Xenopus tropicalis: one gene and its partners. The protein of the gene in region 1 interacts with the protein of each later gene in a biochemical or structural test. Links are inferred from orthologs where the notes say so. Each region holds a gene or a part of one and is shown on either strand. Other genes may lie near its edges.

Evidence for each region.
Region 2: the proteins of mmp14 (region 1) and lum interact in a biophysical measurement, tested with the Homo sapiens proteins (2 studies listed by BioGRID and IntAct, with this or other methods). The link is inferred for Xenopus tropicalis from reciprocal best matches to the Homo sapiens genes MMP14 and LUM.
Region 3: the proteins of mmp14 (region 1) and timp2 form a complex in vitro, tested with the Homo sapiens proteins (2 studies listed by BioGRID). The link is inferred for Xenopus tropicalis from reciprocal best matches to the Homo sapiens genes MMP14 and TIMP2.

Annotation. Positions count from the first base shown.
Region 1 is NC_030677.2:140,076,232-140,080,457, reverse strand, and holds the start of mmp14 (matrix metalloproteinase-14 precursor), read right to left. Parts: upstream 2,801-4,226; 5' UTR 2,554-2,800; coding exon 2,473-2,553; intron 1-2,472.
Region 2 is NC_030679.2:55,472,078-55,476,146, forward strand, and holds the start of lum (lumican precursor), read right to left. Parts: upstream 2,801-4,069; 5' UTR 2,720-2,800; intron 1-2,719.
Region 3 is NC_030686.2:22,380,979-22,385,066, reverse strand, and holds the start of timp2 (metalloproteinase inhibitor 2 precursor), read left to right. Parts: upstream 1-1,288; 5' UTR 1,289-1,350; coding exon 1,351-1,486; intron 1,487-4,088. UniProt on the Homo sapiens protein: Complexes with metalloproteinases (such as collagenases) and irreversibly inactivates them by binding to their catalytic zinc cofactor. Known to act on MMP-1, MMP-2, MMP-3, MMP-7, MMP-8, MMP-9, MMP-10, MMP-13, MMP-14, MMP-15, MMP-16 and MMP-19.

The DNA of each region.
Region 1 (4,226 bases):
AAATGCCTTGTGTGCATTTACTAAAATGCGTTTTTTTCTGGCCTTGAAAGTCGATATGGTATAAATTTGAAGTAACCACGATCATTTCTGTAGTTCTAAAATGTCTCGACAATGCTTTTATAATTTCTACGAAAATTTTGCAATATTTTTCCAAAAGTCCCAAATTATTTGGGCCAAAAAGTTTGTAAACGCCACAAAAACATTTCTGGCTTTGAAGCCCTCCATCTCTGGCTTTTGAAGCCTTCCATAGGACTCAACAGATCAAACCTGGCGAAATTATAGTCCCGATGAAAGTGTAACCAAAGCGTTAACTTGCGAAATGTTTGTATTCTTTGCAAAAATATGATTTTTTTCTATGGAATTTACTGAAAACCACGAAAAACTTGTGGAATTTTACCAAAATTTTCGTGTACATCTCAAAATGTTCTATAATTTAGAAAAAATACGAATTTATCTCAAAATTGTTTATTAAATGTGCCCCTAAGTGTCAGTTTTGTTTCTCCTACTAAGTAAGCAGGCTATGTCAGCATTAAGTTGTACATGGCTGCTCTGGAAAGAAAATATAGTGTTTCATATAAGATAAGACCCACTGAAGCCAGGACTACATGGATGATTAAGTGGCCCAGTGTGTCTACATTTCATGTAGTGTGATTTGTAGTGGATACAACAATGTGAAAAGAGGTTCTTCAAGCAAACTGTTGTGAGCCAAATCACTTATATGTATATATCACTGATGATTTCCAGGAAGGCTGAATTCAACAGCTGCCCAAAAACAATGGCTTATCTAGCCAAACTGCTGCACTGGCCTCTGGGCGTCAATTCACACTGAGTATTCAGCATTTTTCCAGAAAACGCTGGATGAATGCTCACAGCAGTAGGCATGAACAAATGTCTCAGCTGACGCTTGTATGGTTGCAGCCATAGATGGCTATTGTTTACATTTTTAGCTTTATTTGTGTGAACATTAACAACTTTACAAAAGTTGTGTTTTCCCCAACCTTCTGGTACTGTTATGCCAGTGACCTATGTGTATTGCCTGCGATCATACAAAGACAAGCTGAGGGCAATCCCATTCACATCAGATACTAGATGTACAGAAATTAATTTAGTGCTCTTTACCATCCCCAAAGCAAATATTTGCTATAGTTATATTCCCAGAATTGTTGTAAACTCTCAGAAAGAAACCCAAAATGTGGTGCCCTCAAAGGAACCACTAAGTACATTTGTAAGTGCCAATCAGCATAACATGTTTTGAAGCCTATGGGCTTACAAGCCACATTCTCAGACTAAGCAATTTGTGACTTCTAGGACTTCCCAAGAAGCCAGTGGAAATGGAAGTGTTCATCTGCCCACACTAAGCAACAACATTATTACCCACACTGCAGTGTCAGCAGCACCATTCTAACATTTTGCCTCAGTGAAACAAGGTGGGTCAGTCTGGCATTCACTGCAGAGAGAGGAAATGGTGACAATGCAAAAACATGAATCAAAAATAATTTAATGATCCAAGATATTTCACTTAATATAAGCATAAAAAGTTACATTTGATAAAGGTAATATTTACCTGTAACTATATCAGTCTTATAAGTCACATTCAGAACTCTGATGAGACAGTCCTTACAAATCCATTTCTAAATAGTGCCTATGTGGAGAACTTTTTCCGAGCTATTAAATAATATAAGGTCTGTAGTGGGGAACAAAGCCCACCATTTCCAAAATCTATAATGAAAAGAGTGATTGACCCTGTTATTAAATTCATCTCCCCCGCTGCCTGGGACACTGAGCTGAAAGAAAAAGGTTTCTGTTGAAGTGGAGATCCTTGGAGTGGCCTCTCTCTCCCTTTTTCTCTCCTCCCTCAAACCTCTCCTCCCTCATTTTCCTCCTTCTGCGGATTACTCCTACAGTTATCTGCTAACTCAATTATTTTCCCCTTCTGTCACCCTTGTTGGGTCATTTTATATGTGATCAATATACCTGAATAAAGAGACAAATATGATTTTGTTTCTATAGATAAAAAGTGCCCACTGTCTCCTTCATATTCCTAATTTCAGGGAAAGACAACTGGTGGCTTTTATCTGTTACTGACCTAAAACTCCCAACACTGCATTGACAGTCAAATGGGATTCTATGTGTTTTATGCTTAATAGTATCTGGATTGTATTCCCTGCCCCACATAGTTAGTTTTCCCCTTCTATCTCAATTATTGGCTTTTCAGGACTTTTTCCCTTCTGTCTGATTCTTGTTCTCCATTTGTTCCTTCCAACTCTCCCTCACAATTGAATTCTTTCCAGATTTCATTTCCAGCCTCTAACTGGATTCATGTGTGACCTCAGATTCTGAGGGAGCCCACAGCAGCTTCTCCAGGAAAAAAAAGGGGGGGGTCTAGAAAAGTAAATACTGCGAAGACGGTTACAGAAAGTTACATTAGACAAATAGTACACTAAAAGATCCATTTATCAGTGGTACACTCACCTCTGGGCTGAATTTGGCGGAGCTAGAGCTGCATACAGAGCACAGAAAAAGGCAAATCCAGGCTGCTCTCACAGGCTCCATCCTGTGCGAGTAAAAACTCCTCTGAAGGGTGGTTGTCTGCAGAGCAAGAATAGGTTTCTTATCCACTAATCTCTGTTCAGTCCCCTTAACCCCCCTCACAGCTCAAACTATGTGTTAACTCTTTTTAAAGTGAGTCATTTATAAAGGTTATTCACAGTGCATGTTATATCAAGTTTTTTTTTTCCTTGTATCCTTGCTCTTACTGCCCCCACTACGCTGTTCCCCTCACTATCCTTCTCTCCCTCTTCGACTGCAGACGTGGTCTCTAGGTTTGGGCTGGAAATGGTAAGGCATTGATGTGCAGCTGTAGGCCACACCTACACTGTATACCCCCTCCCCACTCTCCCCGCCTCTCTTGGCCCATGGTGCACACAATAATAGTGCTTGCTAAAAGCAGGGATGTCCAAATGAAAACTCTCCAGCTGTTTAAATTTAACTCCCAGCATCCCAGCATTCTGCTGAAAGCTATAGTTTCACAACCACACAAGTCTGTGCCAATGTTTTACACGTGATAAATCCATTGAACACAACAAAATAAAATACGCATAACATTTTATATGCTCTCTATAATGTATAGTACAATAATACAATTGAAGTGGAGAAAAATGTTGCCGCTTTTGTTGACGATTGTCTTGCAACATACTTTTTTCTATTTTTATAAAGTGCTATATAAACCAAATGTTGCATTGCATGCAGCCCAAAGAATATCAGAATACTGCCCAGCAATTAGCTTAGAAACTATCACCATAGAATTCTCTTTTCTGTGTGCCTTTCAGTGGCCTTACTTCACTTTTATCCTCTGGGTTGAACTTTTACCACATGCAGGATAAAATGACCTGGCGCTGCCACTTCACCCCATTTACTCCTACAGTGGCAGCACCAGTGGCAGTGCCCATTTCACCCCTTATACCACGTAAGAAGTTCAGTGCTTTCTGAGGCACGTATGGTGAAGCAGAGGCAGCTAAGCAGCACTCAGATCTCCATGAGACTCTAAAAGAGTTAACTAACATAAAATAGGAATCTAAATGGGGTCACAGGAGGGCATGGTAAGGAGGGGGTCCCCAAACTGACACGCCTGGACTAAGTTTTGTGGCTAAAGGCTGAAAATGTGCTTTGTAGACAAAGGCGGTTATATGAAACCACTCTGATCAGCAGATCTGCTGTGGGTGGGGAGACACAAAAGGTGTGGACAGGCTTAGCAGATCCCTAAAATTTACAGGACAAGGGCCAGAACAGAAGAGAAAGAAAGCAATCTTGCTAATTGCTTTTGTTCCTTCAGTTATACCATTTTATTCTGTTGTACAATTTAACCCAATCACTGGCTCTAGTAACCTTACATATAAGTTGTTCTGCTACTCCTAGACCCCTGACCCCCAGCCAAAATAAAACACATAATAAATAAGGAATATAGAACGAATTAAATACAAATGACAATAGTTTATATGAAAACAGGGCTGAATTTCTAACTTCTTGCACAGTCCTCCAATTACAACATGGAAGCCAAAAGTGCCATTCCCTAACAGCACACGCTAGGCTGGAGTTCAGGGCTACAGGTTGGATATACCCAAAAAATGACCCCATACAATTCTCTCCCTTCCTGGACATCCCATAAAACAAACCCCAAGCCCTGGACTTGGCACTGTGCCTTGCCTTCCTACACATCCCCAGAATAA
Region 2 (4,069 bases), on another chromosome or scaffold:
TTTTTCATTTGAATGTGGCTCACGAGTATAAAAGGTTGGGGATCCCTGTTCTAAGGCAATGCTGTTTTAATAATAAAACACAATGGCTGTTTGTGCCAGTTAAATAACACTTGTTCCTTAAGATCAATGTGGGAGGGTGCAATTGTTTAGATTAATAATACAATGTAATAGGAACTCATAAATTAGACCATACAGCTGTATTATATTCTATTTCACAATCTACCATACAGCAGGCCCCATAGGGTTGGGGAGAGAGGGGTACCAGGAATGCAGTGGAGACTCGTATTACAGTTAAAATATTTACTTAAGATTACTTTAAATATTACCTTAGAAGTTTCTATTTCCATGTCAAATAATTAGATTTGTATTTAATTTAACAATAATTTAAATTGGCAAATAATTTTACTCAAGTAAGTTAGACATTTGCTGTGTTTTGGGGACGATTCAACAGTGCAACCATTCCAAGGTGCAGATCAGCATCAACATAAGACATACACCCCCTTCCAGACTCAATGACAAATAAGCAATGGCAGCTCTGCTATATGCATTTTTTAAACTGATATGTGTTTTTCAGTGTTTGTTTATATTGTATAGTAAGTGATTTTTGCTAACTTTAAACATCATAAAAATATATACCAACATAAACTAAGAACTGTTAACTCACATGGCAACATCATAATCTTTACTGAGCATTTATAAAGTTGTTCTAAATACATGTAAATAAACGCTCTCTACCATCTGTAGCTTCTATATCCTGTAACTCACAAACGTAGTGACCTTGCATGCACACTGATTGTTTTGAGTCGAAACTGATTTATAGCAATTACTGGTTGAATTTTGATTTTAAATAAATATAAACCAGCCTGTGAGCCAATTCATAGTCAATGCATGCATCTCTTCTCTCAACATTTTATTTTGTCATAACTGCAAACTGTAGCATCTGTTACACAATGTATGTTTAAAGCCTCCACAATTCCTATTATTTTTTTTTACATTTGACCATTATAACTTAGGTTATGGTTCATTCTAAAAACACAGTACAAGTTTAGGCAAGTATGTCATGAATCCATATTATAAGAATTTTCTCTAATTTATTATTTGATTTGGTTTCCTACATACAAGTGTGTGTTGAGTGACTAATTTACATAAGTATGTAACACATATATTAGTAGCAGTAAACACAGAAAACTGCTAAGGTAAGAAGTGTTGATGGAAATTGTTCTTAAACAGGTTAATCCATACTGTAAGGGGCCTATTTATTATGCTATGTAAAACCACACATCACCAGGCTTCATTATGTAAAAAAACACCACCAGAACTTAAGTAAAATAGTGGTGCAAAATCTGGCATTTGGATGGAGAAATTTGCCATTTATTTTACACGTCTTTTTACACTGTTTGGTGAATTTTGTTTTCCACAGCATAATAAATAGGTCCCAAGATGTCCAAGCAGTGCTGAGTCAGGTAAGAGCATGCCATTAATATAAATACTCTGGTCCCACCTTCTGTGGGAGGGGAAGAAGTACAAATTGATGGCATGCAGTTATGCACAGCCATTCCACAGGTGTTAACTAAAGAACACATGGGTATTAGTAGGGGAAAATGAAAACCCATTGTTCACTAAATCCTTAAATTATCTCTAAGCTTCTTACACCAAATTAAATTAACCAAGTTAATTATGCAGCATTTGATAAAAAAATATTTCTTCTTTCTACAGGTTTGATAAATGGTAAATGGTAAATTTTTTAACATTCACCACACTAAGTTAATAGCCTATCTCATACAGACCATCTCATGGCCACAGAAAGTGTAAAATAATAATATATATGTATATATTTTATTTTCTTAATTACAAAAATGTTGTGGGCAGGGGCAGTATAGGTTCTGGCCTGTAACGTAATGTTAATTTTCCTGCTGCAAAAACAAATCACTTACAAATATTTTTGGCAAAGGAAAGATTTTTGTTAGCAATTGAATTATTTTAGTATTAATTTTTAATATGTTTTGATATGTTTGTGCATGTGCTGGGGGGAGAGGTTAACAAAAAAAGTGCAAAACAATGAGATTTGTGCCTTAGTTACACAGAGTGATTCGACACCAGCATCTCCTTATTTTCACATGACAGTGCACTAACATTGCTCAAATCATTTTTATTACTTATTAAGCAAGTTAGGGATGTTGCAAGCTTCTCTGAATATTTACTGTATGTAAATATATTATAAGTTGCATCATTTTATCCTCACATTCACATAGTGATTTTTCTGAAAATATTCAGCAGTAAAAGTAATTGAAGTCATAGCAGTTAAGTTTGGATTGCAGCCATTCATTCATCTTTAAATAAAAGCTTTGCTGCACAGCAAAAACCAAAAGAAAGATTTCTGTTCAAGCGAAATATGCTTTAAAAAAGCCAACGACACTAACGCATTCACTTATAAACTGCTTAAGAAGAAAAAGAAGAATATATTATTCCAGCTTTTGGAAAATGAATTGAAGACATTTGGGAAACAGTAAAAAAACATTCTGAAACGTAGGACCACTGCATATTTCACTTATTTGTAAAATGGTTAAAACCACAGTAATAAAAACAATAATAAAATAGCAGCAATGCAACTATTCTGTTAACTGGTGATAATTTCAAAGCTGGTAGAGAAAACTGAAACATATATTTAACCCAGTCTCAATATTATAATTATATTATAATGATCTGTAATATCACTTACCTTGATGCTGTCCTGTTTAATTCCCTATACAGATTAAGAGACTGATTCAAGTGCTGTAAACAGTGTCAGGAGGGAACTGCCTGCCAGAATCACTGTAATACAGAACAGAAAAAAGAAAGGAGCAGGAGAAAAAAAAAACCTAGTCCCACTGCTCTTATGTCATCATGGTGAGTTTGTGGTGTGGCCTGTGAAGCTCTGAGTAAATGCAGGTGGAAGAATGGGAAGGCACAGCCCATCTGCTATTATTTGCAGTACAGAAATCTGCATAGTAAGAGAGAACGTTCGAGGCATATTCAAGTATCTGCTTACACAGTTCTATAATACAAACTACATTATCTACTTTATTGGGGATTTAAGACATTTGCTTCTAAATTTGTATGTGCAACATCTATGAAAAAGCAGCTCTCTTTTCAGTAGGTCTGCCGTGAACATACAGGGGGTTATTTATTGTTTGACAATGTTGAAAATAGTTGTGCCAGTTGTGTCCATTATTGCAACAAAGTCAGCTCTGCAGTGTCCACATAAACATTTTGCATAAGGATGGCAAATTAAAGCATATAGTTATAAATATAGACATATACACATCCCATCCTTGCATGCATGGTGCATATTGTAGTGCATCAAAGGGTAGAACTATAACGCAGGTTTAAGGTGCAACAAAATCATGTTGTCAGGATGGAAGTAGCCCATGTTTCTTGATTCTTGTCAAAAAGCCATTCTGTTTATAGTCCTGCTGTCATAAATAAGCCCCAAAGCATCAGCAAAAGATGACAAACCTTATACAGTCACAATGAGTATGGCTCGCCCTGTTCCTTCACTGTTTCACATCATCTTAATGGCAGAAAAAATACTCCACACAAACTCGTTTTTGGCATACATTAAATGGAAAGTATTTCAGCTTGGTTTTGGGCTCTGTTGAAGAGCATCCTGGTTTTATAATACTTGCCAAAGTGGTTGATTCTACATGCAAAATGGCATTCTTTAGAGTGTTAATGGAAATCCCTTATTTTTGTGGCATTGATTTCAAAATATTAAATATTTTCCTCTCTACATTTTTGTGGATTTTTTATGTTGTGAGCTAAACTAATAACAGAATCCCGGTGGAGAAATATTGTTATATATACATGTGGGTCTCAGCTTTAAAATACTTCTTCCAAAAATCTGAATTTAATCAGTGGTTTGCTGACTTCAGTTATTTTCATGGAAAGCGGTCAAGAATTTATATCTACAATATTTTTAATGTTTAACAGATAGATACTGCCACAATGTTCTGACCCTTAAGATCTTTTATTTTTGGCACAGGTAATTGCCCTCAGTAGCTGAACAATTAGCTTTCAAGTCTTTTTATTG
Region 3 (4,088 bases), on another chromosome or scaffold:
ATCCCTAGATACACAGGTATAGAATCTATTTTCCAGAATGCTTGGGACATGGGGATTTTCCAGATAAGTCTGCTTAAAATCATTAGACATTAAATAAACACAATAGGATTGTTTTGCCACCAACAGAGACTCATGCAGCTTAGTAACCATTATTTACTATATATGTATTTTTTTCAATATATAAAAACTAATACATTATATTATACTATATTAGAGATATATTACATTTAAAATTGCATTGAAAAATCCCTAGATACACAGGTATAGAATCTATTTTCCAGAATGCTTGGAACATGGGGATTTTCCAGATAAGTCTGCTTAAAATCATTAGACATTAAATAAACACAATAGGATTGTTTTGCCACCAACAGGGACTCACGCAGCTTAGTAACCATGAAGGACAAGGTACTGTTTTATTATTGCAGAGAAAAGGGAAATCGTTTTTAAAACTAAAATGATTTTCTTAAAATAGACTTTATGGTAGAGGGCCTTCCTGTAATTCAGAGCTTTCTGGATAATGGATTTTTGGATAAGGGATCCCATACCTGTACAGCAAACATAAAATGATACACTGTACATAATGTATACCTTTCTGTGTGTAGTAAAAGATTCAGTTGCTGCTCAGTTGAGCAAGGCCCTCTAACAATCTTTCCTTATGCAATAGGTATTTATCAATTCAGGTTTCCTGTTTGTAATATCACTGTAAAAGTACTGTGAAATGTAAGTAGTATCGGCATAGACTAGAACTTTCCTACGAGTTCTCAAAGAAGCCTAACGGAAATAAAGAAAAGTCTTTAGTGTTTAGCCAGCACTGCTGAGCCCTGTATCCAAAGTTTAGCCTGATGCTAAATTGCATTTCCTTGGATTATGTCGCACCCCCCCCCAAAGCCCACTCTTAATTTTCCCTCCTCTGGCAGCCCTCAGCCCCTTCACCTATTGTTCTGCAGTCTGAGGAAGGGAGGGGGTGGGAGTGGGGCCACGCTCACAGTAAATGTGTTCACCCAGAGCATGTTATTTCAACTTTTCCCTCCTGCAGAGCAACTCTTGGCCTTCACAGAGGCAGGGCCTACACAAGTCAATTACTTTGCTTTTTTTTGGGTGGCACAAATTAGCCCTCATCTATATGACACGTGTTTCTAAAGACCCTGATGTCTCTTGGAAACACATCCCTAGCATCTCCCCCAGCCCTCTCTGTATCCTGTGGCTGACAGCCCAGGAGGAGGAGTCTGGGTGCACACACAGCAAAGCTCAGACAAGAGACGTACTTTGGAACATTAGCTAATCCAAGCTAGCGGTTTGCAGCACATTGACATTCCGATACCAACGCTGGCTGTGCAAACGCCTTGGAAAATGCTGGCAGCTCCGGTTTCCAGCCTGCTGCTCCCTGTTGCTATGCTTGTTCTTATGTGGCCATCACAGAAGCTTTCTGAAGCCTGCAGTTGCTCACCAGTGCACCCTCAACAGGCCTTTTGTAACGCAGATATAGGTAAGGCCTTGGAACATGGAAGAAAATGTTGATGTGTTCAAAGCTGCATGTTATATGTTGTTTGGTTTATAGCTGTGTTAGTTAATAGTCACTGTTGCCAGTCAGGTTGGTACCAGGCCCAGTGAGTATAGCCTCTACTGCTGTGCTCTTCTGAGGTGGTGTCATTGGAATCTCTGTATAGTTGTTCCATTTTTGGACCAGCCCTGCAGCAGGGAGGTATATTAGATACATTAGAGAATACAGACATGGGCAGCAATGTTCCAGCCATCAGCTGTAATACAGGTATGGGACCCATAATCCAGAATGCTCGGGACCTGGGTTTATCCGGATAAGGGGTCTTTCCATAATTCAGATCTCCTACCTTAAGTCTATTAAAAAAATTATTTAAACAGTAATTAAACCCAATAGGATTTACAGTCATTATAACATGTAAAATATATCAAAAGGCATCACTTGAAAAGTAACCCATATAAGTGGTTGTAAAGGTATGGGACCTGTTATCCAAAATGCTTGGGACCTGGGGTTTTCCGGATAAGGGATCTTTCCGTAATTTGGATCTCCATACCATAAGTCTGCTAAAAATCATTTAAATATTGAATAAACCCAATAGGGCTGTTCTGCCCCCAATAAGGATTGATTATATCTTAGTTGGGATCAAGTACAAGGCACTGTTTTATTATTACAGAGAAAAGGGAATCATTTAACCATTAAATAAACCCAATAGGGCTGTTCTGCCCCCAATAAGGGGTAATTATATCTTAGTTGGGATCAAGTACAGGTACTGATTTATTATTACAGAGAAAATGGAATCATTTAACCATTAAATAAACCCAATAGGGCTGTTCTGCCCCCAATAAGGGGTAATTATATCTTAGTTAGGATCAAGTACAGGCACTGTTTTATTATTACAGAGAAAAGGAGAATCATTTTTAAAAATGTGAATTTTCTGACTTAAATGAAGTCTATGGGAGATGGCCTTTCTGTATTTAGGAACTTTCTGGATAATGGGTTTCTGGATAAGGGGTCCGATACCTGTACTGGCCTCCCAGGCCAAGTCAAAGACCTTCAACTTCACAGCCATGAATGAAAGACTTTTGTCCTAGCTGCTAACTTTGTACTTTCCAGGCACAGATCTATGTTTTGAGCATTTGTGCCTGAACATTATCATTGCTCCTGGTGTCTGGTTGTTTTAGCCAAAAGTGATGCAATCCTTACACCCCTCTGACAAAACGTTCATGCTAGAATTGTAGTAAGGACACTCGTTGGGATTGTTGTGAATGGTGGGTCGCATGGTCTAGCAGCACTGTTAGACCTGACAGTGCTCAGGAATGATATGTGGTTTGCAGTGTTATGAGCAGCCTGGGTTTACTTTAGACCACTATAGAATAGATCAGTCCATCTGCTGGATGTTGTAATTCAGCAACATCTGGCAGATCAGTTGTGCTATGCTTGATAAAATCTGGACCCTGTAAGACCTCGGTAATGTGTTGCTTTGTATTGATTATTAGAGAATTATTATAATTGACTTTTATTACATTTTATCTGCATATCTTTACCCTGTAGCATTGGCCATTCGTTTTTCTCAGATGTGAGGCAAATGATATTTTTAAGTCTCCATGATTTTCTGTGACTATCACCAGTTTCTTACCACTAGATGTCACTTTTTTAGTATCAATTTTAGGGATGTGATCATCACATGATGTACCATTTTTATAATTTCTTTTATTTAAAAAAAAATAAATGCTTAAAGGGATACTAACATAACAAAAAAGCTATATTTGTACCTAAAATGTTGGGTTCTGGACTGGGTCTAACTCTGAGACAGGGTTGTACATGAGTGTAATAAGTGAATTTCCTGGTTACGGTAATATATATTAAATATATAAAAAGAGCAACAAGAAGGATGTATGGTAATTGTTATATATTGCTGGGGCCACTGAGTCACTGGCCGGATCACTAGAGAGTATACAATGCTGTACTTGAGTGTAGTGAGTAAATTTCCGGGTTCGCATGTGACTGTCATTACATTTGCCTAGAAAGTAAAAAAAACAAAAGAAACCTTATTGTACTGTATTGCAGGAATCCTATTTTTATATAAAAAAAAAACAACCTTTGTACCATAGGATGTATGGTCAGTGCCATATATTTTTATAGAAAAAAAAATGCTGTTGTTTCAGTTGGTTGATGACCACCATTGTGTTCTGATAGCAGATTTTTAATATTGATAATATTTTCCAATATAATTGACTAGGACTTTGAGAGTTAACTTATGCAGGATGTCCCCAAATAAAGACAGTTTGATGGCTAAATAAAAAGGCCTAAATGGCTTGTTATCTAGCCTTGTCTACAGCTTATGGCTTAATGGGGTGATTCACCTATAAATTAACCTTAGTATGTTATAGAATGTCCTATTCCTAGCAACTTTGCAATTGGTCTTCAATGTTCATTTGTTATAGTATTTGAATTATTTGTCTTCCTCTGCTACATCTTTCCAGCTTTAAAAAAAACTTTGCTCTGTGATCTTATTTTATTATTATTTTTACTTTGTATTACTTATCTTCCTATTCATATTCAAGTCTCTCATTCAACCTACTGCCTGGTT